Linked DNA regions of Caenorhabditis elegans. The protein of the gene in region 1 purifies or fractionates together with the protein of each later gene. This does not show direct contact. Each region holds a gene or a part of one and is shown in the gene's direction. Other genes may lie near its edges.

What was found.
Region 2: the proteins of exl-1 (region 1) and lsm-3 fractionate together in Caenorhabditis elegans (co-fractionation; one large-scale study listed by BioGRID). This does not show direct contact.

The regions. Positions count from the first base shown.
Region 1 is NC_003280.10:14,405,726-14,420,853, reverse strand, and holds exl-1 (Chloride intracellular channel exl-1), read left to right. Parts: upstream 1-7,378; 5' UTR 7,379-7,388; coding exon 7,389-7,455; intron 7,456-7,645; coding exon 7,646-7,950; intron 7,951-8,269; coding exon 8,270-8,614; 3' UTR 8,615-8,652; downstream 8,653-15,128. Other genes in the region: plx-2 (Plexin-2), read left to right, coding at 1-838, 1,460-1,616, 1,665-1,835, 1,885-2,351, 2,401-2,580, 2,626-2,829; dsb-2 (Double-Strand Break factor), read right to left, coding at 8,723-8,809, 8,858-9,049, 9,092-9,473, 9,528-9,646, 9,690-9,752; F26H11.4 (ULP_PROTEASE domain-containing protein), read right to left, coding at 10,045-10,255, 10,297-10,388, 10,441-10,894, 10,942-11,141, 11,369-11,596, 11,749-12,022, 12,069-12,103; nurf-1 (DDT domain-containing protein), read right to left, coding at 13,096-13,454, 13,503-13,633, 13,682-13,861, 13,912-14,333, 14,385-14,479. UniProt on the Caenorhabditis elegans protein: Probable chloride channel.
Region 2 is NC_003282.8:13,382,023-13,397,739, forward strand, and holds lsm-3 (U6 snRNA-associated Sm-like protein LSm3), read left to right. Parts: upstream 1-5,446; coding exon 5,447-5,560; intron 5,561-5,616; coding exon 5,617-5,670; intron 5,671-6,872; coding exon 6,873-7,013; 3' UTR 7,014-7,121; downstream 7,122-15,717. Other genes in the region: rab-19 (Ras-related protein Rab-43), read right to left, coding at 121-317, 369-440, 1,422-1,622, 1,691-1,782, 1,844-1,914; Y62E10A.20 (Tim44-like domain-containing protein), read right to left, coding at 2,295-2,364, 3,376-3,511, 3,555-3,930, 3,986-4,066; Y62E10A.23 (Mediator complex subunit 9), read left to right, coding at 4,357-4,436, 4,488-4,690, 4,765-4,823; mdt-9 (Guanine nucleotide exchange factor MSS4), read left to right, coding at 4,652-4,690, 4,765-5,034, 5,086-5,220; Y62E10A.13 (Phosphoserine phosphatase), read right to left, coding at 7,341-7,577, 8,653-8,953, 10,319-10,644.

The DNA.
Region 1 (15,128 bases):
TGTAATAGTTGGATCACTTAGAATGGAGCTTGGGTTGATTGAGTATTCCGATCATGCACTCCCGTCCAGACTATCACTTTTGATTCTTGGGCTACTTCTGTTCATTGTTGTCACGTTGACTGTGATGTGCTTGGTTTTCAAGCGGAGGCGTCAAGAACGAGAGAAAGAATACCGAAAGATTCAGCTTCAAATGGAAAATCTTGAAAACAATGTTCGTAAAGAATGCAAGCAAGCATTCGCTGAACTTCAAACAAACCTAGTACTATCTCCAAAGTCTGCAAATTCTGTGAACCTTGGACCGGAACTCATCAACTTCCCGCATTTTGTGGAGAACCTGCTCTGGTCTGATAACAACCTTACATCTGCGCCGAGTTTGGCAAGGACTCTCCCAGTGACTCTTGCTCAATTTCATGCACTTCTGAGCTTCAAAGGCTTTATTTTCACTATCGTAGAAGCTGCAGAATCGGATGTCTCCATATCAACATCAGAGAAGTCAATGTTAGCAAGCCTCCTGATATCTGTGTTACTTCGAAACTTCTCTTATTGCACTGAAGTTGTTGTGGACCTTCTACGTGCCCATATCGCAAGATCGGTTCAAAATAAGCGCGCCGAGTTACTGTTTCGGAATAGTGACTCGGTGGTGGAGAAAATGTTCTCAAAGTGGATGAGCATTTGTTTGTACTCCCATTTGACTCCGCAAATGAACTCGTACTTCTATCTATATAAGGCGCTACAATATCAAACTGACAAAGGACCCGTGGACGCGGTGACCGGTGATGCGAGATATACGATTAACGAGGCCAAATTGTTAAGGGAGAGTGTGGACACAAAGACTTTGGTGAGCTTTTTTTCAAATTTTCAAATGTTCAAGGTTTTATAAAAAGTTTCACAAGTGTTTAAACTCATAGAGGTTAAAGATGATTTTTAACTTTACAATGTATCTTTTACTACGGTGATTTTTTTTACTACGCTTTGTATCTTATTATTGTATCTTACTAGATGTTTTTTACTACGAGTTCAAAACTCATTTTTATAATTTATTCCAAGTATAATTACCCAAATATAGTGAATACAAATGTCGCACTTGTAGTTTGTAGTCAAGTAGTTCTAGTAAATTTGAGTATACCCGGGTTAGTAAAATAACAACGTAGTATATAAGATGAAATAGTGAGAAAATATTTTCCTATTATTTCAAAGTTTACTAGACTACGAGAGAATCAACGGTTATTATGAACGGCTACTAAATTTTATTATCGGAAGAAACGAATTTTGGTAGAAATTCCACAAAATTGTGAATTGATGTAACAAATTTACATAGTTATTTAACCTGGATTAATCAGAAAATATATAATTCATTTTAACAACATACCTTTGTTTCAGTTTTGAAACGTTTACAGTTGATCCCACAGGAAAAGGGAAAGCAAGTCTAATTGATATGCTATTTTTGGTTAATTTTCAGAAAATTCGTGTGATTCCATTTGAAAAATGCGATGAATCAATAGATCTTGAAGTTCATGCATGCGACGCAATTTGTCAAGTCAAACAAAAAGTTGCTTCAGCTGTCTATCGTGAAACACCATATTCACAGCGACCGAGAATAACGCAGTTCGAATTGAGTGGGTCATAAATAATCCCATATGTGTCTTCAATCAGTTTTTTTTCAGAATATAAATGTCCCAAACGGGGAGATGTGAAACTGACCGATGTTTTGCCAATTGAGACGTTATCGCAGAAAAAGCTACCAGTAAAGTTGTTCACTTTGGCAGATTACGGTATCAGTGATGGCTGTACGCTGGAAATGTCTCCAGCGGTTTATACAGCGGAAAGCTATAGAAGTGAGTTAATTGAAGAAACAAAATTTGAATATAACCCTTAAAATTTCAGATTCTCTCGCAGATTCTGGACAATCTTCCTGGTCATCGTTAGATCGATGCTCTCCAATTTATTCATCTTCAAAATACTATCACCTAACAAATCCGTCATCTGGAACTATGACTTTCAAGAAGAAATCTTCAAACGACAGCAATTTGCTACCCAAATCTATTCCAGAAGTGTACCTAACAAGGTTGCTCACTTCAAAGGGAACAGTAGAAACTTATGTGGAAGACTTCCTAGAATCCGTACTATACATGCACGATTCAAGCTACCCGCCAATTTTAAAATTCTTCTTTGACATTTTGGATCGTGAAGCTTCAGTGAACGGAGTTTCTGAAAATATTTGTCAGCAATGGAAGGCTAATGGCTACGTTCTCAGAGTTTGGGCCAATTTTGTTAGAAATCCGCAGTTGGTGTTCGATGTTCCTCATTCTATTTCCATGGATGCAAACTTGAGTACAGTAGCGCAAACTATGGTGAGCGAATCACTTTTCTGTTATATTATTTTCTGACAAATAAATTCAGATGGATTGCTTCTCATTCTCTGAACCTGTTCTCGGAGCCCATTCACCGTCATCTCGACTTCTTTTTGCAAAAGACGTGGCGAGGCTCCGGCCCCTTTCAGTGGACTTATTCAAGCGAGTCAAAAATAGTCCTCCACTAGGAATGGATGAGTTGAGAACGGAGTTGGTGAACATGGCCAATGTGAGCAATTTTATGCTTAACATAATATATTAGTAAATTTTCCAGGATGTGTCCACGTGCAAAGGATCTTCCCTAGCGCTCTCCGAACTTCTGTCCTGGGTTCGAGGAAACGGAATTCGCATTTCCCAACTGTTATCCTCAAATGAGCAGTTCAGCCAACAACGTTTGCCTCAAAAACTCTCACAAGTTCTCCATGTTTGCTTGGAGACTGACAATCATATTTATTCGACAATTTCTGATTATGAATAAGCGATTACTTCAGAAAATTCTATCTCGATTCTTATACGGTTCCCCCATTTGTTTTCCCGTCAGGTATTTCTTGTCTTTCCACTATCATTATTTGATTTTTTGAATTTTGCGACTTGTGAATGAAACTTGTTGGTTCAAAATACCAGGTATTCACTGAACATCAAACAATATCCTTGTTAGGTACTTCCATCTAGGCGGTAAAACTGCCTGCCTGATCTTAAGGCGACCTCCTGCCTCTTGCCTCAATCCGCGCCTTATGCAAAGATATACGTGAACTTTTTTTTCAATTTATTAATTCGATTTTCATCAAATTAATAAATGAGAAAAGTAGAAAATTGTAAATTAACGTAAGGCCGGCGTGAGGCGGGTAAGTTTCAAGCATGTGTCCGGCCCTGACACCGCACCGGCCTACCATGGAGGGCCTACATTGTTCATTAAGGCCATTTCCCTATGGACGTCACAAATTAACGGTATTCATTGACGCGAACTAATAAAACTTTTGAACATGTTTGTCTAAGAAAAAAATTTGAGTATGCAGTGAAAAAAGAGTTTAAAAAAGAGGGATATAGAGCAACGCCCATCAATTGGCTGAAATTACACACTCTCTACTGTTTCAATCGAGGAAAAACACATTTCACACACTGGAATATTTCGTAATTTGAAAACCTTTAAATACCACATTTTTTGTAACAAATTTCATAGTAAATTATAATTTTTCAATTGAAACTTCAAAAAAAAAAATTTCATAATTTCATCTCTACCTCTCTAAGCCTCCCCTTTAAATTCTCGCCTCTTCTTTTTCCATCACCCCTTGAGAGAACCTGGACCATTGAAATTGGAAGAGATGAAAAAGAAAAACTCTCGCCGAAAAAAATGAGGAGCAAAGTGCCCACACTTTGTATGCTGCTCCCTCACGAAAGAATAAGCACAAGTATCGATTACACTCATTATTAATTTTTTGTTGAGAAATTGGTTTTTGTATATAAACACGTGTACTTTTGGTAAAATAATCTTATAATAATTTATGAACCAAGGAACAATTTGTTTTTTTTAGAAAAATTACAAATGTTTTGACCATTTTCAATTACAACTTTATTTAAATTTTTTAATTAAACTTTCGCAAAAGATTAACGATATTTAAGTTTGCTGTAAAAACATCACACTTTTGACAAACTTTCGAAAACTTTATCCCGAAAACCTTTCCCAGAAAATCTTTTTTCAGTTGGCCTGTCTTATTTTTTGCACAGAAAAACCGAAAATACGCTTAAGGTGGAGTAGTGCCAGCGGTTAATTTTAATGACCAAATATCACATTAAAACCTTTTTTATAAAAAAAAAAAACAAAACAAATAAAATATGCATGGGCGGCAATCGCCGTTCGGCAAATTCGGCAAAACGTCAAATTGCCGCTTTGCCGATTTGCTAGGAATGTTCATTTTCGGCTAATTGCTGATATCAATTTGAGGGGACTTTCTATAAGACGGAAACACTTACAACTGCCTTTTGAAACTTTTTTCAAGTTTTCTTTAATATTTTCATTCAATTTTCTTGCTTTTCAAAATAGATGTAGAAACATACAAAGGGTGCGTCAAATTTTCCGATTAAAATTGAAATTGTGAAACTTTCAGAAATAATGTGAAAAAGCACAATTTGCCAAAAATGTTCAAATTGCCGGTTTGCAGATATGCCGGAAATTCTCAGTTACGGCAAATTGCCGAAATTGAGTAACTGCCATTTTTGAAACAGATGTATTCTATTTGCTCATTTTGGCACCATAGGAGTGGTTTTTGACAATTTCGCCACTGGCGCTACTCCACCTTTGAATCTGTGACTAAAAAAATATATTAACTTTCATCCGGAACTGCCGATTTTTAACATGGTAGGAATGTTTTAATGCATAACTATCCTTTTCATTAACACCCAACAAAACTGCATTCCACACCTTCACAACATTTTATTCGAAGTCATCAAACTATCTTCTGGAATTGTAAAGAAGGCATCGTTAGATTTTATCACTCCGCTATTGCCAATCCTCAGGTTTCTCTCAGTTATTAAAACCTTTTTCTCTCTATGCCATTCTCCCTCTCTCCGGTTGTTTGATCACTTGTTTATCACATTCATATGATTCCTGGAGAGTAAAGCATCGAACATAAAGCATCGAACAATAACTCCGAGTTCCCTTTTTCCCATTTCCAAACCTATCAATCATTATTTCATTCCACCCAAAAGCGCGAATTATAGACTAAAGAATTCCATGAATATTTATTTACTTGCCACAAACATACTTTAATTTTTTGAAAATTCAATCATTTTTTGGTGGAAAATCATCAAATATGTATAAGCATTGAGTTGTGGTGCAGAAATTTTCATTTTGTGTTCCCACGCACTCCGAAATTATATTGTTTGGCATTTTAGTTCAAACACACTTTTTCCGCTTATCACTGACCACTTATCACACCCTTTTTTAGACGCTTTTCTGTTCCATTTTTGACTCTAAACCCACATAATTTCATTTCTTGGTTTTTTGTGTCAATGGAGAAAAACTACCAATACTTTTATTTTTAGAAAACAAATTTTCTTTTTTTTCATGATAGATTCGTTGTTCTTGAGATTTTTGCGTTAAAATCTTGTTATGTGGTCTCGACATGATAAATTAGGGCAAATACTGTTTTACTACTTGATCTTTTACTACGTATCTCTTTTACTACGACATTCCTTTTACTACGGAATCTCTTTTACTACGAATTCCGCATTTAGATCTTTTACTACAATTGGCTCTTTTACTACGTGTTCTCTTTTACTACGGAAAATACTTTTTTACTACCTCATCTTTTACTACGTGGATGTTTTACTACGTTTTACTCTTTTGCTACGGACGTATTTTTACTACGTGGAGGGATACTGTTGGGTTACTGTAGTGGTATTGTATAAGTAACAGAAAAATTTTTACTACAATGGCAGGGATTATATTTTGTTTCGTATCTTTTACTACGAATTAAAAATTAATTTTTATAGGATAGTCTAGATATAAACAAATCTATGAATATTTTAAAAAAATATATAGGTCACAATTGTAGTTTGTGCACAAGTAGTTCTAGTAAATTTCAGTTTTTTATTTTTTGGATACTGAGATGGAGTTATTGGAGGGATCCTGTTGGATTACTGTAGTGATACTGTGGGAGTAATTAACTTTTTTCGCGTTACCAACAAATTAGTTCCCTACCGGTTGATTTATAAGTTTTTGAAATGTAATAAAAAACTTGCGGGTTCGGTCAGTTATACGCCAGATGTTTGAAATTTTGACTTCAACTGAAATTTTGATCAAAAACTTTAAATTTGCAAAAACTTTTGATCAAAAACTTGAAAAATGTTTTTTTCTGGATTGATCAAATCTTGTATAGAATAAGCAATTTATTGTTTTTCATAGTGAATAAATTTCTAGAAATTTAAAAAAAACTATAATACATAATCTGAAAACTGTTACTTATACAATACCACTACAGTAACCCAACAGTATCCCTCCACGTAGTAAAAATACGTCCGTAGCAAAAGAGTAAAACGTAGTAAAACATCCACGTAGTAAAAGATGAGGTAGTAAAAAAGTATTTTCCGTAGTAAAAGAGAACACGTAGTAAAAGAGCCAATTGTAGTAAAAGATCTAAATGCGGAATTCGTAGTAAAAGAGATACCGTAGTAAAAGAAATGTCGTAGTAAAAGAGATACGTAGTAAAAGATCAAGTAGTAAAACAGTATTTGCCATAAATTAGTGTTTAATGCAAAAGGGGCGTGCGCCTTTAAAGAATACTGTAATTTCAAATCTTCGTTTCTGCTGAATTTTCATGAATTTTTCATAGTTTTTCTCATTTCATTTCATCTTAGTTTTGTAATTAATTTTTTTTTCGAAAAACTATGAGAAATCTGAATGCTCTGAATGCTTGCATGTATCAATTGATTATTCGTATGCTTATCATTTTCTTTTTCTCTTTAATTTTCCTCCAAATCTCCTTGAGAGAAAATAAATAAATAAATAAATAAAATTCATGAAAATTTCGCAGCAACGGAAATTTGAAATTACAGTACTCTTTAAAGGCACATGCCTAAAATGCGTTACGATGCCCCGACACGACAATTTTTAAAGCATTTTTAAATGTTTTATTGATTTTTCATACTTTTCTGAACATTCCTTTTTTCTCAATTTCCTTTTGAAAATTCGAAAACGAAATTATTTCGAATTTTTTTAATCAAAAAATCTGAAAAAAAAATCAAATAACCGGCAATTATAGAAAACTTAGTCTTTTTCCCAAAATTTCTTCTGCGTCCTCTATCCTCTTCGTACTTTTTCCAAGATTTTCCCAAGTTACACGAAGAAAATTAAAAGAGAATTCAAAATTCTACAAAAAATTTAAAATTCAATTAAAAAAATTTAATGTTCTCATTTTTTCACGCGACCCTCCAATATCCTCCCACTTGTTCCACTTTCCACGTCATCCTCAAGCAAATTAGTTTTCCAATATTCCTTAACTTTCTTCAAATAGCTTCACACATTTCAGTCAATAGAGAATGCCCACTTTTTCGCTGTGGCTGCCAGCGGGCTCTAATAATGTACACCCGTGCGGTGATCCGTATGGTAAGTATCAAACGTTTTCAGATATTTTCGCAGACTTCGCCAGTTTTTTTTCTGTTTTCCCGTGGTTTTTTAATCAAAAACCAAAGAAAACGAAACAAAAACGATAAAAATGCTTTAAAATGTTTGAATTTTCAAGTTTGCCGCCAAAACCAAACGAACCGTTGGAGCGCGATTGTAATTCGATTTTCAGCTCACCACCTATTCATGCGTTGTCTGTACCACGCAAAACACGATCCAACGATGAAATTCGATGTGAAAACCACAAATGTGAACAAGACAAGTCAAGAGTTCAAAAACACTGGACTCCGTCGTATGCCTGGAATTAGTGCTGAAGAGAGCGGAGAGACGCAGACATTCGAGACGGAGGACGATATTTTGGACTTTTTGGAGTACTTGAAGCCCGAGAGAGGTGATGATGAAGAAGCGGAGAATGCCACGTGTGATTTGTTCCGACAATTCGCCAGATTCGTGAAGGATGTCGAGCATAGGGATACGGTAAAGGGCTAATGTTTTAAAAAAGACTTCCTGATTCCGAATATCTAAATATGATTAGCTTGAAATCGTGAATTTATGCATCCAAGAGACTTAAACGCGCGTCGTTTTGTGTCGATTTTCGGAGGGCAATTGACACAAAAAAAAAAATTTTCAAAAAACTCGTCGTAAAACTGAATAATCTCGTAAATCGACATGACACGGCGCGCTCCAATGTCTCTGGCGCTCGTTCTCGAAATAGTCTTGAATGCTTATCTCTTTATTCAATCTGAAATACAAAATCAGTTTGAGGAAAAGAAGAAAAATTAGAAAATTTTTTCAGGCTTTCAACACGGAACTCCTTCGTCTCGACAAGTATCTCTCCGAACAAGAAACCAAATTTCTGATCTCCGATGACGTCACGCATATTGATTGCCTGGTCCTGACGAGATTGCACTCGATCCGTGTTGCCGCAAAAATGCTGAAAAACTATGAAATTCCAGCCGATTTATCGCATGTACTCGACTATCTGAAAGCCGGTTACGCGACTGAAATGTTTCGAGTTTCGTGTCCATCCGATCAGGAAATTGTTCTTCACTGGACAGAGCTCAAGGATACGCCCCGCTTGTCGGCTAAAGACCGAGCTAAACTGGTCCGCGAAGAGCCGGTATTTTCATTTTCCGTCTGATTTTCCTAATAATCGAAGGCTCTAATAAAATGCTTCTTAAATATACTTGAAAAAAAATTTACAGATTCAAATGATACAAGTTTAAATTTTTAGAATTTTTCCAAATAATCAATCTTCTGGAACAGAATCGTGTTGCTCAAGCTGTGGTTGATGAAAACGATCAAAGAATATATCGTTTATTGGTGGTTCGGTGACCTGGAAAATTACATTCTTTCCATTGTTTTTAGACAAATATATTCTCACATCTTCCAATCCCTCTTGTTCCGCTTGTGGAATATACTGCAGTGTATTTTCTGCAGCAGCGACGGCTTTGATAAAACTTGGGTTTTCGATCATTTTCCTCAGTGCTTTTCGCATGCAATACTCATCGTCAGCCAGCAAATCGACCAAATCCTCAGTTTGAATGCATTTGTCGGCTACTTCAACGCTTAGAGACTGAAAAATAGTTTTACAGAAAACAGTATGGTACTTTCCTACTATTTGGTTCGACGAGGACTTTTTAATCGTCAATAATTGGTTGTCTGGAAATCCAGTCGGCTGGGACGGCTGGAACGCCGAATTGCACGAATCTCCAGAAAGTTCCAATTTAATGGTTGAAAAAACTCTCGGCTGAGAGGCTTGTTGAAATGAAGTATATTGATTGTAGCTGTTGTTGAACACTGCTGTAGAATCTCGACGCATTGGTGGAGGTTGGGATGAACTCGATTGTTGGGAGAATTTCACGATTGCGGTGTCCAGCAGGCATCCCAATGAATGCATGATTCTCAGAAATTGTTCGCGTTCTGTTGCGCCGAATGTCAATCGAAATCCATCGCTGGTACTTTCACTGAACATCACGTAGAGATGCCGTTCTCGGGAACTGAAAATTGATTTTTTTAAAATTTATTTAACACAAAATAATTGTTCGGCTTACAAAATTCTCGGAAACTTCTTGGAATCATAGTGTAAATCCACCATCTCTCTTCCGATTCCATTGCAGATGACTGCGAACTTTCTTTTATGTCCGTCGATAAGTATAGAGACATCGCTAGTCTGAAAAACTCAAATAAAAAAAACATATTTACGCGAAAATTACCTCTGCTTCATTTTTTTCCGCTAATTTGTAGTACATCTCAACTTTCAGGCCACGTGCACTCATTTTTTTTCTGTAAAAATTGAGATATTTATTGAAATAAACTGATCAAAAATGAATTTTTTTTAAACGAATTCCGGAGCAAATAAATTTAAACAACTACGGTAACAGCCATTTTATATGTGTGCGCGTTGCGAGACCCAGCATAAAACATCGCGCAGGTCCCTTCAATTAACTACTGTACTACACAAAATGTTTCTGTGTTTCTCGAAAATATTTTAATTTAAATAATAGTTCCTGTTTTTCTCCGAAAAATTGTTTCCCCTCAATTTCAATAATTCATTTTAAGCTACAAGTACTATTTCCGTCCTTCTGCTGAAAAAGAAGCCGATTTCGTGTCAGATTTCGAGTTGGCCGAGTTGGTCACAGTCTTTTTCTCGTCGCCCTTCTTCATTTTCACCCATTCACACTTTTTGAACGTTCGCTCCGGTTTCAAGTTTTTGGGGTGGCACTTTTTGCAGCTGTGGCTTTTGTCGTCCTCTCTCACCGGTGGTCTTGGTCGATTTTTTCTGCAAAAAATCATAAGGCTTCGGCTTAGTCTCAAGCTTACCTGGAGTAAATAAACAAGATTGGTTTCGGAGGGAAACTAAAGTTCACTTTCACACTCTCTTCTCCGAGAGACTTCAACTTTGGTTCCTCTTTCTGAAAACTTTTAAAATTCGCAAAAAATATATTGCTAGTCAATAAAGTCTACCTTCTTTTTCACCTCTTCAGACGCACTCTTGTCTTTTTCAAACATTAGGGTTCCATAAAAAGTGTTTGTACACAATCTTTTCGATGCCTGTTCAGGTACATCGGTTCCCATCTGTTTATCAACTTGCTTAAACTTTTCCAGTGTGTCAGAGTCCGGTTCACAAAACGGCAGTGTTCTTGGGCATTTCGGAAGGAGCAATGACGGATTTCCTTCAAATGCTTGCTTCAGCGGCCGATGAGCCTGAATTTGAGCCTTCGGAATGTCATCGTCACTCGGCAGTCGTGCCAACCAAAATGGGAGCTTTTCAACAAAAACCTCTCCTTTGCTACACTTGTTTTTATCACGAACAGTAATGTCGTTTTTGCTAAAATAACATTCAAGGTCCGGCATGAAATCGACAGGGTTCACTCCATAATCCGGTGGCACGTACTTTTTCGACAGCATTGCTTTAGTTCTGAAAATGTTTCACGGTAGGGATGCAGTCTGGTTTGAATAACTCACGGATTGGCGATGCCATCCGACTTTCGGCCCCATAGTTTAGCCACATTTCTCAAGAGCCCTTTTCGGTTTCGTTTTGAGCTATGCTTCCGTTGGCTCGACAAATTTTTCTGTGCTGGACCAACGCATGGCTTTGGGCCTACATTCTTCTTCCGCTCACTCAAAGGAGGTGGGGGTGGAGGACAAGGTAAAGAAGCTGCTACCTGGAAATTTAAATTTTTATAAAAGCCCAGTGTTTTTTCGTCAATTTTCTATGGAGCCTCTTGAATACGCAAGCTCTCTCACTCTCTGTCATTCTTTTCATATACTCTCGCTCGCTGCACGTTACTCACCGCACGGATGGTTTACTGGGTCTTCTGGTACTCGTATGGGTGCGTGGGTTCGAATCCCACTTCGTGCAGAAATTTTTGGCCTTTTCTAGATAGCTCACCGGTGGAATAGTGACTCCTTTCAGCGCGGATCGTCTTGCTGTGCCGTTTTTCCCCTTCTTACTGTTCTTCTTTGCTTCTTCTGAATTCTTGGGGTCTTTGCCTTCTTTCTTCTTCCTATTTGCTTCTTCTACCGGAGCGCTATTATCATCTTTTGCAACTGGTTTTTGCAATCGGTCAGCAACATTTGGAGTTGAAGCTGGCTCATGTGCTTTTTCAGCGACGTCTTCCTGAAATTTTAGTTTACCCGGTTATTTCATATTCGATTCATGTTCTCCAATTACTAAAAAAAAACTTGAATGCAATAAAGACTCTTGTGCTCCTTAAAAGCGCTCACTGTTTTTCATTTAAAACAATGTCTCTCTGCTCCTCAAAAACTCACGACAAGAGTTACATCGACCGTTGCTCCGATTCCTTCTTGTACAGTATCCACCGTTGTAGCCTCATCCTGTCGGTCATCATCGTCAGGATTATCATCAACGATATCGATGACGATCTGTCCTACAAGATCAAACATGTCACCGGATTTTTTCTTCTTCAGGACCTTGTCCGACGGGAACTTCGGCTTGAGAATTGACGGCAACTCAGTAGCCTTACTGTTAAACGGCTCAGTTGGCGCAGTTGCTGTTTTGCTTTTTGAAACTTGTTTCTGATCACTGAAAATAGAAGTTGTTTCTTCGTTCCAAGACCGCTCCGGCTTACCTATTCTTTTGAACTTTTTTCAGATCGGAATCCATTTTGTAACGAAGTGATATAAAAATTGAAATGACCAGAAGTTTCAATCTTCAAAAGATTTCATCCAACTTTATACGAATGGTCCGAAAATATATATAAATAAACTTTTGAACAAGATCACACGTCAGATTGATAGGCGGGGGGGGGGGGGGGGGAGGACAGGGAATAAAAAATTTAAGTTCAAACTTTTTTATTAATTTTTTTTGTTTTAATATAATTTTAAGACACAAAATTATCCGATTTTTCCACCAAACATACAGTACCCGGTCTCGACACGAATTACTTTTGTTAAGTACGAACGGGTGTGCGCCTTGAGAGAGTACTGTAGTTAAAACATTTAGTTTTCTGATAAACTTAATCGATTTTCTATAGTTTTTCTCACGATTTGGTAAAAATTATGCATTTTATTGTTAGATTTGAGTTTTTATTGAAAAACTAAGCTAAAATCGGGGAAATTTAGCAGCAATTAATGTTTCAGAGTACAGTACTCTTTAAAGGTGTGCACCTTATCGCATTAAAAAATGTAGTTTCGTGACCAATTTTTGAAACCAAAGTGCAATCGCGCTCCAATTCCAACGGAAACCAAGGCGGCAAAACTGCAAATTCAAACGCTTTCAATACATTTTTCGTCGATTTTGCCGCTTTTTGTTCTTTCCTAAAAATTATAAAAAATTATGCAAAATTATGCGATTTTTGCACCAAAAATACGGCACCCGGTCTCGACACAATTTTTTTTTTGTTAAATAAACGGGTGTGCGCCTTTAAAGAGTGTTGTAATTAAAAATTATAGTTTGAGTCAAAAATTGCTCCATTCGATTATTTGTCATGAATTTTCACATAAAGCGGAACGTTTTTATTTAGCCGTGAACCTGTGCTTTAAACATTTTTCATTGAAAATCGAAAAGAAATTTTATTCTTACAAAACATTGTCAACGTAACAAGTGAAAAGTCACTGTGTGACTACGAAAAACATAAAAAAACAAGAGGAAAAATCTCAAAAATCATAAAGTCTCATAAGATTCGCATCCAGTGGCAACAGCTGATCCGAATCGATATCCAACGAGTCGACAGTTCGCTGGCTTTCCGACTGGACACGCTTTCTGATAGAACTCATCGGGTCCTGTTGTTGAGCAGTAGCTAGAAGAAGCATCTGTTGACGGGCGGTCATTTGCTCGCGAACGTCTATCAACTTTTTGTCGAACACTTCCTGCATCGTTTCGGCGCACTTGAATACAGCATTGCCCTTGGGATTGTAGGTTTTTGCATTTTCGAACATTTGATTCACGTCGTTCACAAATTGCGATAGATACAGGTATTCGGTGCGCTCAACCTTTTTTGTTATTGTTGAGAGATCTGAAAAATTTCAAATGCAAAGTTTGACGACGTTTCGGAAATACTAACCCATAGGCTTCTTGATGAATTTCTCATAATCTGGGAACTCATTCAAATCTACTGGGTTCCTGAATGGTGTGCTCATACGGTGTTCGAGGAGAAGCTCGAGGAGCTCAAAGACATGAGTATAGTCGGCGCGTCTGAAATTTTTCCGAAAAACTGAAAATTCTAACAATGTGTGAACTCACGTTAATTGCACACTAACACGACTCGAACCCGACACATCTGACGCTTCCGACTCGTAGCCTTCAGCCTCTCGAGTGCATGCCGGGCAGTTGTAATCGGCGGCCTGCTCGGCTTCGGCACGTGTTGTCCCAACGCATTCCGGGTGAAACCACCCTTGACAGCTGTCACACCCAACGTAGAATCTGCAAATTTACCTGAATTATTCTCTTATTTCTATGCCAACAAAACTCACTTTGTATCATCATATGGCTTCTGACAGACACAGTACAACGCCGGCTGATCCTTGACTCTCTCCTGCTCCTCAATACATTCCTCACAGCTCCAGTGCTCCAAACCCAAAATAGTTTGCTCGGCGACTCCAACACAGTCGCCATGGTACCAACGAGCGCACAGCTCGCACTGAATATACAGCTTCGACGCGTCGAAAATCTTCTGACAGGTGCAATGCTCAATGGATAGGTTTATGTCGTGTGGTGTCGCGGATCCTGGAGTGTGGAACGCCACGTGGGACGCTGGCGGCTCCGAAGTACGACGCTCTTTTGACTTTGGAGCCGTGGATTGGCTTTCCGGCTTGTCCCGATCATCTTCAGATTTTGAGAGATTCGCAGAAGTTCGGCGACGACGAGAAACGTTGGTGGCGATTGATTCCGTTGGCTGGAAAAATTTCAGGTCTCACTGGGAAAATCACTTTTTTCGAAATCTTACCTTCTGTTCCTTGACATAATCATAAGTATCTCCGCCCAGAGTGATATCAGCCGGATTTATGACTTCCTTTTTCACCTCAGCTTTTGGTTTGGCCGCTGAAAATTAAAAAGTTAAAATTGATAAGAATAAAACAGTCAAGTTTTAGCTAAAATCTCAAACTTCTCCGTATCGCAGAGTAAATTTTCACCGTTTTATGATTATCATACCTTTCTTAGTCAAAAAAGGTACATTTTCGGTAGATGGGTGCAAAAATATTATCCAAACGGCAAATTTTGCGATTTTTGCCCTCTAAAACCACGGTCTCGACACGACAAATTTTTGTTAGATAAAAATGTTTTTGTGTGTCATTAGAGTGCTGTAGTTTTAAGCTTTTGCTGTTTTTTTTTGCACTCATCTACCAAAAGAATGCATAAAGTAACGAAAAAACACATAATAAACGACGCGATATGTTCAACAAACAGTGGTCGCCACAAATACGGAAAAGTTGGAACAAAATTTGTCTAAATATTTTTTCGAGGTTATCTAGAATCTTCCGCCTCTTAGAGTCGTCTAATAGGGCAAATTTTTCCAAAAATTTACCTAATTCAGAAATCTCTCTATCCGCACACCGTCTTCGCCGTCTTGGTCCCTTACCAATAGGCTCAACAGGCTTTTGGAATACAGTAATCTTTTTGATGGGCGTCGTTGTCTTATCAGACGACGTGCCAGGCTGCTCATTGAGCAGATACCCGAATGAGTTCCAAT
Region 2 (15,717 bases), on another chromosome or scaffold:
TTTGAACAAAAAAATGCAAAAAAAAATGCAAAAAAAAATCGGACAAAAATGATTTATTGACGAGATTTACAAGAAAATTGTGGATGAGAAGCAATATGGGAATGAGAGTTTACATCATCATCAAGTGTACTGACAACATCGTTGCCATGGAGAGCCCAGAGCCGTCGTGCCACCGGATCCAAGCTGGAATGTACCACTTGAGCCTTGTTCAACGACTCCTTGATCATACTGTCGCTTCAGAATTGTTGCTAACTCGAGGAATGCGTTGTCCACGTTCACATTGCCTTTTGCACTAGTCTCGAGCATTGCGAACATTCCTGGAAAATTGAAATTTGATAATTCGGAACTTGAAAATTTGGAAAATTTACCATTAGCTCTTTGCAACATTTCCGCTTCTTCTGCTTCGATTGCTCTCTGGTCTTCTAGATCGCATTTTGTACCTGAATTTCTTTATTTTAACACAAATTATTACAGGAGCACAAAACTCTGAGAACGCGTATTACACAACATATTCGACGCGCAAAATATCTCACAGCGAAAACTACAGTAACTCGTTAAAATGACATACTGTAGCGTTTGTGTCGATTTACGGGCTTTCATTTCAAAAATCGAGCCCGTAAATCGACACAAGCGCTACAGTAGTCATTTGAAGAGTTACTGTAGTTTTTGCTACGAGATATTTTGTGCGTCGAATATGTTGTTCGATACGCATTCTCAGAATATTGTGTTCCAGTAATATCAAAGGATTGAGGAGCCACCACGAAAAGGAGAGCTGCGAGAAGGAAAACTGTGAAATATCTGTCTTTTCGCTTTTTTTTGTTTAATTTTTTTTCGGTCACCCTTTCCCGGTAAATGCGAAAAATTGATTTTTCGCCAAAAAAGGCAGAGCCCAAAAAATGTACCGCAGAATAGGTTTTCGCAACCCCCTTTTTTTCTGGATTTTTTTCTACTAGGGGCAAAATCTATTTTTGCTTGAAAGTAATAAACCTGAGGCGCACTGGCTCTTGTGTACTACTCGTGGGCAAATTTGAATTAATTTTTGCATGGTTTTGAATTTATTTTTGGCGAAAATTCATGATTTTTAATCAATTTCGATAATTTATTTAATGTTAAACATTGAAAATAGTCAATATATATCATATTAATAGTTTTTACCAAAAAACTTTCAATAAGATATATATTGACTATTTTAAATGTTTAACACAAAATTAATTAGCGAAATTGATGAAAAATCATGAATTTTAGCCAAAAATAAATGCAAAATCATGCAAAAAATAGATCAAAGTTGTCCACGAGTAGTACACGTTCATACAACATCGATTTCGGTTGCGGCACACTTTTTGGCTCCACCAACTGAATTCTGTTTTACTGGGCACTCTCCGATCTCCTCAAGGAAACTTCCGTGGTGCAAGAGTTCTCACCAATGAGTAGCTTCACAACATTCGGAGCTGCAAACTTTGAAACATCATCAATCCATCTCTGAAGACTTCCAAATGATTGCTTGCAAGTAATGTCATAACACAAAACAATTCCATTAGCAGATCGATAATATGATTGAGTAATCGTTCGGAATCGTTCCTGGCCTCCAGTATCCCAGATTTGCAATTTTACACGCTTTCCGTCTGAAAATCATCGATTTTTCGATTTTTCGTTTGAATAATAAATTAGCTTCTTCTTCTCTAATTCTCACCAACGACAAGAGTTTTCATTGTGAAATCGACGCCGATAGTGGTTCCCTGACGATCAACAAATGTTCCATTTCTGAAGCGTTGAACTACACATCTGTAATATTTTAAATTAAAAAAAAAAACTTTTTAAAAACCCGAAAACTTGAATTCCTTACGTCTTTCCGACTCCCATATCGCCGACAAGCACAATTTTGAACAAATAGTCAAATCCATCATCGTTGTCCATAAATATTCCTAACGATTGAGCCTGAAATGACGAGAATATCGAATTATTGAATGCAGGAGAAGGAGGATATATAGAAAGCGGTTCTTCAGAAGAAGAAGAAGAGCAATGTCACTGGGTGAAGCAACGAGAGAGTGCTCCGGTGAAAGAGTTGCAGACGGCAAGAGTGTTGAAAGTAGTGTGCCCCGCTCTCTACGTTTACCCATTTTTCGTACTATTTTCTGAACGAGACGACGACGACATTTTCGCATGCACGACGCAACAAAAATCCATTCCTCCATTCAAAACTAGTACGAAATTGTGTGCTGCTGCCACCGTTTCAGTAGTGTATGTGTGTGACGTTACTTACTTTTTAGTTTTTTCTTCTACATTTGCAATTCCAACTAGTTTTGCAGGAAAAAGTTGGCGTTCGTCACTTTCCACACTCCCAGAGGATTAAGAACGCGGGAAAATCTGAAAAAAAAGAAGTGTTTTTTTGAAAAGAAACGAGCTATGTCCCTTTAAAAATTGTGTAGATTTACGAGCTCGTGTACTATGCGAGGACAACAGAGCTGAATTCGAAAAGACTTTTCCAAAAAAATAAACCAGAAAAACAATTTAAAAAAAATGTTTCTGTGTAATTTAAAAAAAAAGATGTAAAATTTAATATTTTAATAGTTTTTTCAGTTAAAAAGTTAGCTTTTTCATACTTTGCGCAACTTTTCTAGCAAAAAAGCGAAAAATACATTTTTTTAAACCAAAAACTCGAATATTTTCAGCACGGGTGTACAATTCTGAACTTATTCGTTCACATTTAAAATTGCCAGACTGACTATTTTATGAAGAATTTTCCGTTGAAATCTATTTTTTATGCGTTTATAAGAATGAGTGCCTCTTTAAATGTTGTGTAGATTTACGAGCTCGTGTACTAGGCGTGAACAACAGGGCTGAATTCGAAATAATATTTCTTTTCCGGCAAAAACTAGAAAAACAAAATGTTTTAAATGTTTCAGTGTGATTTTTTGAAAAAAAAAGTAAAATTTGACAGTTTTAAAGATTTTTTGGTAAAAAAATGTCGCTGTTTCGTATTTTTCGCTAATTTTTTTCTCGCAAAAAAGCGAAAAATACAATTTTAACTCGAAAGCCTTGGATTCTACCGTTTTCAGTTGGTTTTTTCAGCATTTCACTTATAAAGTTGCCCAAACTACATTTTTATTACCCTATAAAATAGATATTGGAATTTTGATTTAAAATGCGCACTTATATGCAGGAAAAAGGCGTACAATCGCCAATTTTAGCGAAAAACTGTGAAATCCTTCAGGAAAATAAATTTACGCAGAGTGCACAAGCTCGTAAATCCACACAAATCTTAAAGGGACATCCATTTCTCTCGCATGCGGCTTCTTTCGATGTTTTGCTCGTTGGAAAATGTCGAAAAATGCCGGAAAACCACAAAAATTAATGTATTTGATGAAGAACTCGTACGTTGCATTGCAAACGAGCACATCACTCTTGTACTTTCCGCTGAGCTCTCCAATACTTGCGTTCTCCGGAACTTTCTCTGACAATCGAACGAAAGAGACGACGGTGAAATAAATTCCGATATTTCGGCTGCTGCTCACTGCAATTTCCTGTTCAGTAGTGAATATTTCCTTGACACTTACACTTGAGAACATCCCGACCGGAGATGACAGTCGAATGGAGAAATGAGAGCAAAATGTCGTCTGGAGAGAAACGAAGAGCATTTTCTAATTGCTTCGAAAGCCCTTTTCTGGCTTCTCGCATATTCTCAACAGCATCTTTCACCGCCAAATTCTCCATTTGATCCCATTTTTCATCAGCTAGAAAATGAGAAAGACTGTGAATGCCTTTATTGGCTCCGTGCACCAAGCTCTCAACAGTGAAGCTTTTCTCGTAACATAATGTGTAGAAGGACTGCGCGAAGAGATTTCCAACTCGACGACTCAACTCAAACGTTGGAACTGATACTTGTGGAGTATCAAACACATATGAACGATTGTTGGAAATTAATGGAACAGCCTAAATTTCAGAAATTAATTGTTTGCCAATTGATAACAACGCAAGTTTTACTTACATTGGCGATTTCCGCGGAGGTACTCGCCGTGCAAAGATTTCGCGGTGATATTCTCCTAATGGCGTGTGAGCATTTGAGCATTTTCTAAAATGGGAAAATAGAGAAAATTATGATAATTCTATACAATTTAGTAAAAATTAGAACAAAAATATCGGGGAAATCATCTTAAATCGAGACATAAAGCAGAAAAAAAGGAAAAATACTCTGCAACGTACTCTGCAACAAGTGTGCGGCGTTGTTGCAAATCTTGTGTGCTAGGCTTGCAAGAAGCAAACGCGCTCCATCGAACGCAAGCCAATTTCAACTTAATTCTTTATTGGAATTATTTTCAAATCAATTTTCCAGTATTCGACTATTTTCAGAGTTTGTTCATGAGCAAAGAAGTGATCAAGCCAAGTGCTGAAAGCTATTTGAACAAATTATACGCAGATTTATTCCATCTTGTGAACTCGTAAGTTCGGAATTTGTAGTTATTAAAAAGAAACGAGGTTAATTATTTCAGCGTGGAGAAAGGAAGCGGTTCTGAGCTTACTGTTCGTCTTCGAAACGTCGAGGCCGACATCGCAAGCTTCAAAGACGCTCTGAAATCGATTCCCGACATCGGCGTCGAAGAGTACAAGGAAAGACGGAAAATCGCCGCGCTCTACAAGCAGATTGAGAAGAAAGATGAGCTCCTCGACGAACTCGCAGCCTTCAGCCTTGATGGTGAATTATTTTCAAGAAGATATTAATATGTTTTAAGCAAGAAAAATGATTTTTTAATTGATTAATTATTTCAGCAGCCCTCAAAAAGCCCGACGGAGAGCAGAAGCAGCGTAGTGAAAGTGGAGACAAATGAGAGCACATACATTTGTAAAATCTGTCAAACTGTTGTTATTCTGAAGAATATGACTACTGAATATCTCGACGAAGAACGTGATCTTCCATTGCCACGTCAAAAGAAAGGAATCGATCATACTCAGACAGAGCCGATCCGTGGATTTTTCGGAGTCAAGGATATGTTCGCTTTTGAAAATGTTGGATTTACAAGATCTTCTGAAGGCAAACGAGTGGGTTTCAACTTTTTTTGAAATCTAAAACTTTAAAATCCCAATTTTCAGTATCTGGTGTGTGGTGAATGTGAGCAAGGACCAGTCGGTTTCGTGGATCCAGTCACTGAAATGAACTATGTGAGCCCTGAACGGCTCGATGTGCTTCCTGATGTTGCTGCTGCTGCTGTGGAGGCTGGAAAGTGAATTGAGCTTTCCGGAATGTGTCAAAAATAATTTATTGATTTTTCATTTTTCATTTTTCTGTAATTTGAATTTTTTACGCGAAATTATACTGCTGGAATGAAAAAGTGTGTCCGTGTATTATGCTCGAAAAATTAATTTTCTGATGATTCAAATGTTGATTTCTCAATTCACTATTTTCTTTCTTTTTATTATTTTCAAACTTTTAGTTTTTCAAATTTTTTTCCAGATGGCCACCGAAAAGAAAGAAGTGACACTGTCTGCTACAGTCGAAGAGCCACTCGATTTGCTCCGTCTCAGTTTGGATGAGAGAGTTTATGTCAAAATGAGAAACGACAGAGAGGTTGGAAATTATTTTATTTTGGGATTTTTTTTGTGTTACAAATCTCGATTTTTCAGTTGCGCGGTCGTCTCAGAGCTTTCGATCAACATTTGAACATGGTTTTATCGGAGGTTTGTCGTTGTTGAAAAGTTTTAAAAAATTGTAAAACTGTTTAAAAACTGAAACTTTGTGAAAGTATCTTAGTCAAAGAAAAATGCGAAATCCTAGACAATTTCTAATTATAGGTTCTACCTCTCCTCGAAATGGATTTGAGAAAATTCTTTGAAATTTTAAAAAGAAGAAAATCGAAAAAAATACAGTTTAGCTTAAAAAAACACAACTTTTTCCAAAAAAAAAAACTACAAAAAAGGCCATAATTCTTTGGAGAAAGCTTTAAATTTTCAATTTTAAAGCCGAAAAATAGGAAAAAAAACAATTTTTCCAAAAAAAAACTCCAGATTATCCGTAATCCCCTAGAAAATAGATTGAAACTATATAAATAAAATAGAAAAACAATACAGTTTTAATTCGAAAAAAACCTTGTTTTCCAAGAAAAACTTCAAGAAAAAGGTACCGAAATCTGTGGAAATATTTTTAAGTGACTTCAAATTTTTCCCTGATTCCGAATATCGAAATGAAAAAATTCAAAAAAATGTTCTCTGATTTATTATTTCAGCTTGAAATCGCTTGTACACCCATGAGATTTTTGAAACGCCGAATTTTTGCGCCAGAGACGCCATGTGTCGATTTACGAGATTTGGGTATATTTACGAGATTTTCAATCTTTATCAGATGCTGATTTCGGTTTTTCAACGAGTTTTCATCATTTTCGTCGGTTTTCGCCAAAAAATGTTGTTAGTTTTTTAATAATATAATGTTTAATTGACCTAAAAAAACACATTTTCAAAAAAAAACTTTAGAAAAAACCGACAAAAATGAAGGAAACTCGTTGAAAAAAGGAAATCTACATCCGATAAAGATTGAAAATCTCGTAAATCTACACAAATCTCATAAATCGACACATGGCTGGCGCGAAAATTCGCCGTTTGAAAAATCTCATGGGGACGCAAATGAAAATCGCGATTTTAAGTTGAAATATAAAATCAGGGACTTTTTTTTGAAATTTTCCAATTAGATATTCGGAATCAGGAGAAAATTTGGAGTCGTTTAAATATATTTTTCAGATTTCGGTACGCTTTAAGTTCGCTTTAAGACCGTATTTATTGCGCAAAATATCGCATTTAACTAATTATGAGGTCATTATTTAGAACCTGTTTTCACAAAATTCTGATCGTAGTTCAATAATCATCAAATTAAAAAAAAATATTTTCAGGTTGAAGAGACAATCACCACCCGTGAAGTCGACGAAGACACATTCGAAGAGATCTACAAACAAACAAAACGTGTTGTTCCAATGCTTTTCGTTCGTGGTGATTCTGTCATTCTCGTGTCTCCACCGATTCGTGCATCCTAATTCATCGTCATCATTTTCTCGCAATTTTAAATTTTTCTCATCTTGTGATCTTCTAAATCTAAACACACACATACGTTATTTTTGTTTATGAATATTTTTCGGAACTCTATATCATGTGGTAGAAGATTTATGGCACAACAAGACAAAAGTTTGCTGGTACATGAAGGGAAAAATTCACAGTGAGAGAAAAAAAAAATAGAAATACGCTAGTAGGTGATTAGAAAATGATGCTCAAAATGCTCAAAACCGCACAGTAAAGCCAACTGAGAACGTGTGGAAAATATATGAAAAAAAAAGAAAAACGATATGTACAGATACATGAATTATCTACTCGTCGTCAATATCAGACTCATCATGATCGAGATCTTTCCGAAGAACATCGAAATCGGTGACGTACCATTTGGCACGAGCCTTTACACCTTCTCTAATGACATTTCCACCGAATCCAATGAATGCATCAGCTGGGGGTGAAGCTTCAACATCGGTTGCTCCGTCACCAACCATCACAACTGTTTTGTAGTTGTACATCTTTTTCAGAAGAGCTATCACAGCCGGTTTGCCAGTCTGAAATTATTTTGATTAAAATTTGGAAGAAAAACTTATAAATAGAATTTTTTTTGATTTTTTGGCTTCAAAAATCGAAAAAATCCTAGTATTTTTTTTTAAATTTCAAAATTTGATTTATTGGAATTTTTTTCGATTTTTAAAGCAAAAATAGTTTTTGGCTTCAAAAATCGAAAAAAATGAAATTTTATTTTATTTAAATTTTGAAATTTAACAAAAAAAGAGTAGTATTTGAAATTTTTTGGTGAATTTTTTGGCCTTTTTAGGCACTTTTTCAGCTAATAGGCATGTAAAAATGACTAAATTTTGGCTTTAAAAGTGAATAAATCGAAAAAACTAGCATATGCAAAATACGAGATTATTTAAATAAAAAGCTAATTTACTGGACCAAAAAGGTTGGTAATTGAAGATTTTAGCTAAAATTTATTTTTTTTTAATTTGAAAAGTCATAATAAATTTTGAGCTTTACACATAATTCTCATGAGAATTTCAATTTTTTCGTTCTAAAAACGATTTTTCAAAAAATTGCAAATTTTGTTTTTGCCAAAAATTACAAAAAAAATCGTTATAAAAAGCGGAAAAAAGGCCAAAAAGTAAAAAATTAAAAATTTTTCGTTTTTCGCAATTTTTTTACAAGAAAAAAAGATTTTTCCTCTAAAAAACATTCACATCCGATGACAATTTTCGCTAATTTTTTGACTAAAAAGTGTATAATATCAATTTTTACACATTTTTTCGTATTTTTTCAGTTTATTTTTCAGAAACTCTTTTGGAAAAAGCCTCGCAACTACTAAACATTTTTTTTTGTCAATGAAAAAGTAAAAATGCCAATTTCGCAGGTGACTTTTTTTTTGAAAACGAAAAATAATTGTTTTTCGTAAAAAAAATTTTTTTGTGTGTAGGAAGTGTATAAATTAGAAAATTGTATATTATTTTGTCTTTTTCAAGAAAAGTATAATAAAAACTTTTGGGAAAAAACTCGAAAAAAAGCATTTTCAAAATTTTCAACTGAAAAATCTCAAAAAAAAACATTGATAATGCAATCGCGCTCTAACGCAAATTTAATCCAATTAACCTCTTTGCTTCCCGAGTCACTCGTCAATTCAGAAGTATCAAATCCGTGATATTTTCCGAATTTATCGAAAAGAATCTCGTTTGCATAAATTCGAGATTTCTCAATTCCAAGAAGTTCAGCAACTGGAAGAATAAGTCGTCTAAATCCACCAGAGACAAGATATACGTGAGTTCCACGAGCATGAAGACGGCTCACAAGTTCTCGAATTCCAACAGTGAGCTTTGGTTTGGAAATATTCACAAATTGTTCAAGTTGCTCGTGATTTGGTTTCATTACCTGAAGACGGGCGGCAAGAGCATCTCTGAAATATTATGAAAATTTAGAAATGAGATTTTTAATTTGAAGTGTGTGTGTGTGTTGTTTATTGGGAAAAATTAGAGAAAGGAGAGAATTGAAAACTCAACTTTCACTAAAATTCACACAAAACAACAACAACAACACTTCGGTCAGAAAGCCACGGGGGGAATGTGAAGAAAAGTTTGTGTCATGCATGTTAAAAAGGAAATTTGAAAAAAATAAATGAAAAATCAGGTTGGCTGTGGATTATGGTCAAGGATGTCGGTTTTTCGGTTTTTTTAGCAAAAAAAAATCTAAAAATCTAAAATTTCCAATTTTTCAAAAATTAGCTTCAAATTTTGGCTATTGTTCCTATTTTTAGAAGACATTTTTATGTTTTTTCTTATCAATTTGAACAAAATTAGATTTTAAAAAATTATGTTTTATGCTTCGAAAAGCCAAATTTTCTGCTTTTGTATTTTCGGTAAAAATTGTAATTCTTCAATTTTTCCAAAAAAAAATTTTTTTAATTTTTTTCCAGCTGGAAAAGTGAAATTTTGATTTTGACATTTTTTCGATTTTTCGGAAAATCTTAAAATTTTAATTTTTTTTATATTTTTTCGGAAAATGTTGTATTTTTCCTTATTATTTTTTAAAATTGTATAATTTTAAAAACATTTCCTCGAAAAATCAAAAAAAAATTCGATTTCTCGAAAATTAACTTAACATTTTTTTTCACAATTCAAGAAATTTTCCAAATAATTTTCTTTCAGAATGAGCAAAAGCTGATAAGAATTCGAATTTGGCCAAAAAATTTTTTCCTATTTTTTGAAGAAAAATTTTCAATTTTCTACGTTTTTCTGATAAAATTTTAAAAAAAAACCGAAAAAAAATGCGCAAAGATTTAATAGAATTGCTCCGGAATTTTTAAATTCTGTTTATTTCTGAAAAACATTTTCTCACATTGAGACCCATTTTGCTAAAAAAAAAATAAATAAAAAAAAGGAAATCAACAATTTTTCGAAAATTATCTTCTTTGTCGCTTTTTTTTAAATATTTTAGTCCGGAAAATATCCAATTTTTCTTTTAATTTCTTTTTTTTCTGAAAAAAAATTTAGAAAAAAAAATTAAATTTTTTTTTTCGAAAAGCCAAATTGATTTTTTCTGTTTGTGTATTTTCGGGAAAAATTTTAATTTTTAAATTTCTCGAAAAATTTTTTTTTTCCAGCTGAAAAAGCCAAATTTTGAACCGAAAACCGTCTATATTACACAGTCCAATTTCTAACCTTCAAAAATCATTTCCACACATCAAACAACACAAAATCTATGATTCAAAAACATTTCTTCTTCACACTTCAAAAAAAACAACCCGCGTGCTTTCATTTATTACCTATACCTGAAGCGGGCGTTGCCGTTCATCGCCGTCCGTGTCACATTGGCGACGGCTTCACCCACACCCAGGTAGGCAGCAAGCTCATCGATTCCCTCGTCCTGGCATACTGTAGAATCAACGTCAAAGCATACAGCATCAGCTTTTCTCCATACTCTTTTCACTTCTTCTTCATGATTTTTTGAGATTGTTTCACCCGGTGATGTGGATATGGATCGAGGGATTGCCGACGCTGTTGTTGGTAAAGCGACACGGATCATTCTGAAATTCAATTGAAATACATTATGGGAATAGAGAATTCTATGAAAATGGAAGAACACAGCCATGTGTCGATTTACGAGGCCTGTGTATTCCTCGAGGAGGATTGCACCAGTTTTTGGATAAAATCCCTGATTTTGTATAATTTTCGCTGACTATTTATTTTTGTATTCAACATTAACAATATTATATCGATTTTTCTCTTTTTTTTTGATGTACATAAATATTATTTTTTTCAAAAAAAGAAAATACAAAAAAAATTCGATGAAACTACAGTACTCTTTAAAGACACACATTTTTTCGCATTCAGAAAAAAAAAACATTGCCGTGTCGAGACCAGTCATCGTAGTTTCGGCGAAGCGAAAAAATTTGCATATGGGTAATATTTACGGAGTTTTCAAATGGAAATCGTCCGATTTTCCTATAAACCACTATAAATAGGAATAAGGAGAAATTTAGACTTTAAATAATATACAAATTGGATCTAGAACGTCAAATCCCGGAAGAATTCGCGAAAGTTAGCTGAAAACTGGCATCCTCCTCGAGGAGTACACGAGCCCCGTAAATCGACACATGGCCGTGTTAGAGATTTTACACGGCCATTCTTCAGAAACTAGTAGAAATGGAAATAAAATGTACAAATGATTGTATATCATTGTATATTTATAGCCTCTACTATTCAGGAAATAAAAAAAAGACTGAATGGTTCGATGACGTGGTAGGGACTGAAAAAGGGTGTCAAAGAACTAATTGATAAGGCGAATGATGGTGGGTCTGATACAGTATAAGAAAACAGAAGAGACAGATACGAACAAAGTACGCATTTTGAATGAAATCGGGTGATAAGTAGGCGTGCCTTCTAGTGTTCTCTGATCACGTGATGATCTTCAAAAATCATTTAAAAAAGCAAGGGATTTCCTGGACAGAAAAAGAATATAATTGTCTTCTCTTAAGCTAGGCTGTCCAAGACAAAAGTCCCCATTGAAATTTAATAAAACTAGTTGGAGGTGAAAATGATGGCAAAAAATGAAAAAAAAAAGTGTGTTCAAAACACAACAATGGCTAGTGAATTGATAAGATTAATTGATAATGGGCAAATTTTGGGAGGCATGCCACAGAAAAATGTTCAAAGTTCTTTTTGAAGTGATAGAAAGTTAGAGATTAGAAAGTTTTTACATCCTGGGAGTACTGTAGTTTCCAAAAAAACTACAGTAACCCGCGAAGAGGGGACGGTTTTTTGTTGGTATTTGGCAAATATTGGGTTTGTGTTATTTCCCACAAAAAAAAAACAGCAAAAAAACAATCGTATTTTCAAAAAAAATTTTTTGAATTTTTTTGCCATATGGCGTCAGACTGTCCCATAACAATATGATCTACCATAAATGCGGGAATTGAGACACAGAGTTGTCAACAAGTTTCGCACGGTTAAGTGCGTTCTGACGTCACACTTCTCTGGGCGAAAAATTGCCGCATTTTTAGTAGATCATACCGTTATGGGACATTCTGACACCACGTGTTTTGTTAGTTTCGACCCAAAAAAAAACGAAAAAATTCGATTTTTTTGAATATTTGTTTACAATCGTACTCTGTGTACTCCCCGAGGAAAAGTTTGTATTTATTTTTTTTCAGCAGGCGATTTTACAGTTTTTTGGTTGCTCAAAATACAAAATTTTAGACTATTTTTAGATTTTTTTTAAATAAACAAATGGTTAATTTGCAAAATAGGAAAAAATGTATTAAAAAACACACTTCTTCTCGAGGAGTACACGAGCTGCGTAAATCGAAACAAGGAAATACTGAGAGAAAATTATTACTATGTAAGAGATTTTCAGTACTTTTATATGACATTTTCTAGCGTCTAGAAGTTGTTGATGCAGAACTAAAAAAGTCGAAAAAAAGAAGAGAAAAAATATTCTTCTTGACGTCAATAGTTCACAAATGATTTTCAAAAAACGGGCTGCTCTTTGATGATACTTGAGGCTTCCCCCCCATCCCTCTGATCAAACAAACTTTTTCAATATATTTTTATATTGAAAAGGAGAAAAAAGATAGAAAGACTCAGAATGCATGCTGACAAATAACAATTTTTAAAGGAACAAAGTCTGATGTCTGAACATTTAAATGTTCGAGCAGCCAAGTCCAAAAAAATTGAGTCTTAAAGTCCAAAAAGACTAACGTTTTGAGAATGAGTGAATGGAAAGGTGACATGTACTCTTATTCTGTGTCCACCCCACTCTGTCTATAATATAAACACATGCACGGACGACTTAATGAATGAAAGAGATACACGAGGAGGAGGCGGCAACGTGCGGTACAATGCGGACGGACGGAGAAAGGTGATTTCTGGTCGATGACGTCGAATGCCACATCATTTTGCAAGGGGGTGTCACTACGACGACAAAGAATTGGTGAGGTTTGTAATGTTGAAAGGGAGAGTTCTAAACGAACTGGTATACTGTCTTTGAAGGAGGACGACGAGGAGGAAGAGGAAGAAGAAGAAGCAGAAGTCAGAGATGAAGATTATCAGATAGATTTTTATTGTTCCAGTTTTCAAGGTCTTGATGGGAAAATCGGAAAGTCTTGGAAACCCAAAGACCCTATGGCCTTAAGGGACCAAGTAGATCAATGGAACGATTCAACAAGAGTTCCACGAAAACTTGTGCGCACTCCCCGATTTATATACCAATTACGGTAGCATTATGGTGGTGTACGTGCTTTTTCCAACGAAAAACCATCTTCGAGGCGGGCCGAATAAAGCGGGGGGTTGTTTCCCCGCGTCGAGACGCAGAGGCGTCACACAAATTGCCGGCGCGAGGTAGTGCTGAAATTGTGGAGGCGCCCCCGGGGAGGGCACGCGTTGTTCACGTGTACTTTTTGATGCTTCTATACTCGACAGATTGCATCACATAGATGGAGGAATTGCTGACGACGACGTTTCCGTGTTTGGTTTCAGAAGCGGCATGTTTTGAGGCGGCAACTGGTCCCCGAAATATGCGATGGAATTCGGAAATCATTGGAGATATGAATATGATGTCTGATTTCTGGGAGACGGTGAAATATTTGTACCTAATCTAGATCCATAGAAATGGGGAAAAATTGAAAGAAATTAGAATTTAGATCTATAAAAAATGCGGGAGAAGAGACGCAGAGTTCTCAACTGATTTCGCATGGTTAAGAACGTGCTGATGTCACATTTTTTTGGTGAAAAAAGTCCCGCATTTTTTGTAGATCAAACCGTAATGGGACAGCTTGGCGAAATTGCAAATTTATAAATTTTTCCGTCATATTAAAGATTTAAAGTATCCGCAATATATTTTTAAAAACTAATTTTCTAGAGCTGGAACTTCGCGAACTTTTAAGCCTATATGCCTACAGCCTGGCCGTGTGTCGATTTACGCCGTTCGTGTACTTCTCGAGGTTACGATTGAATTTTATGTTTAGTATAGACTTTTTCGCGGAAATGCTCGATTTTGAACTATTTTCGTCAATTTTTTTCCTACATATTAAAAAATTTATATTATTTAATGGTAAAAATTACAAAATAAGTCAATTTATGTTGGAAATATTGCCAATTGAAAAAAAAAGCGAGCTGCGTAAATCGACACATGGAAATTTACATGGCCGTGGTAGAGGTTTTTCACGGTCATCTTATCATTCTGAAATTACCTCTCGTTTCCGAGATAGTCTTTGATTTTCTAATTTTTTTTTTCAAAAAACCCCTAGGTATCGTCTACTTTATGTTCTCAAATACCTGTTCTACCCGGATTTCCGTTGACAAAGATCAGAGGACTTTATCATTCTATTGATAGCAGTGAACCATCACTACAACATTTCATGGGATGATTCCCCCCAAAAGAACAAAAAAATACGAAAAGCGCACATAATTGTCATCATCCGAATATAAAATGTGAAATGAATGCAATACGTGACTTTTTGCAAGTCACAATTATAAATATTTATCATTGTTTTTTTTCATCTCGCAAACAAATATACACACAGTACTGTCACGTAAGAGACTCCTCCGACAGTCTGTGATGTAGTTATTATCAGCTGCTGATACAGATAAAAGGAACTGGAACTCACATTAAAGTGGCGAGGAATAAATAGTACTGCTGCTGATGCTGCTGCATTGTACGATTTTCTAACAGAGTATTGGAAGTGATAAGTCGAATTTATATGTTATATAGTGGTTACTCTCGCGTCCAAATAAGAAAAAATCACTTTTCAAAAAGGAAGAAGAGACACCTTCGTGTGTCATTGACAAGAAAATCTATCAGAAAGTAGTAGAAAAAGATATGAACTTTCAGTTTCCCGGTTCGTGTATTTTGTGTAATCTAGGAAATTGGAAAATCTACTTTTTGTTACTTTGAAGGCTGAAATCAGGGTTGACGGGCAACGATTTTTCCGGCAAATCGGTAAATTGCCGGAATTTAAAAGTTCCGCCAAATTGGCAAATTGCCAAAATAGAAAAGTTCTGGAAAATCGGAAAATTGCCGAAAATGAAAAGTTCCGGTAAATCGGCAACTTGAAAAACTCCGGCAAATTTCCGGCAAATCGAAAATTTGTCGGGATTGAAAAGTTTTGGCAAATTGGCAAACCGGTAAATTGCCGGAATTGAAACGTTCCGGCAAATTGGGAAACCGGAAAATTTCCGGCAAATTGGCAAATCCGGGAAACTTCCGGAAAATTGCCGGAATTGAAAAGTTCCGGCAAATCGGAACACCGGCAAACCGGCAAATTTCCGGTAAATTGCCGGAATTAAAAAGTTCCGGCGAATCGGCAAACTGCCGGAATTGGAAAGTTCCGACAAATTGGCAAACCGGCAAATTTACGGCACATTGCCGGAATTGAAAACTTCCGAGAAATTGGCAAACCGGCAAATTTACGGCAAATTGCCGGAATTGAAAAGTTCCGTCAAATTGCCGGAAACAAAGAGTTCCGGCAAATTGGCAAACCGGCAAATTTCCGGAAAATCGGGAAATTGCCGGAATTGAAACGTTCCGGCAAATTGGGAAACCGGCAAATTTTCGGCAAATTGGCAAATTGCAGGAATTGAAAAGCTCCGGAAAATTTTCAAAATTCTGGCAAATCGGCAACTTGAAAAACTCCGGCAAATTGCCGGAATTGAAAAGTTCCGTCAA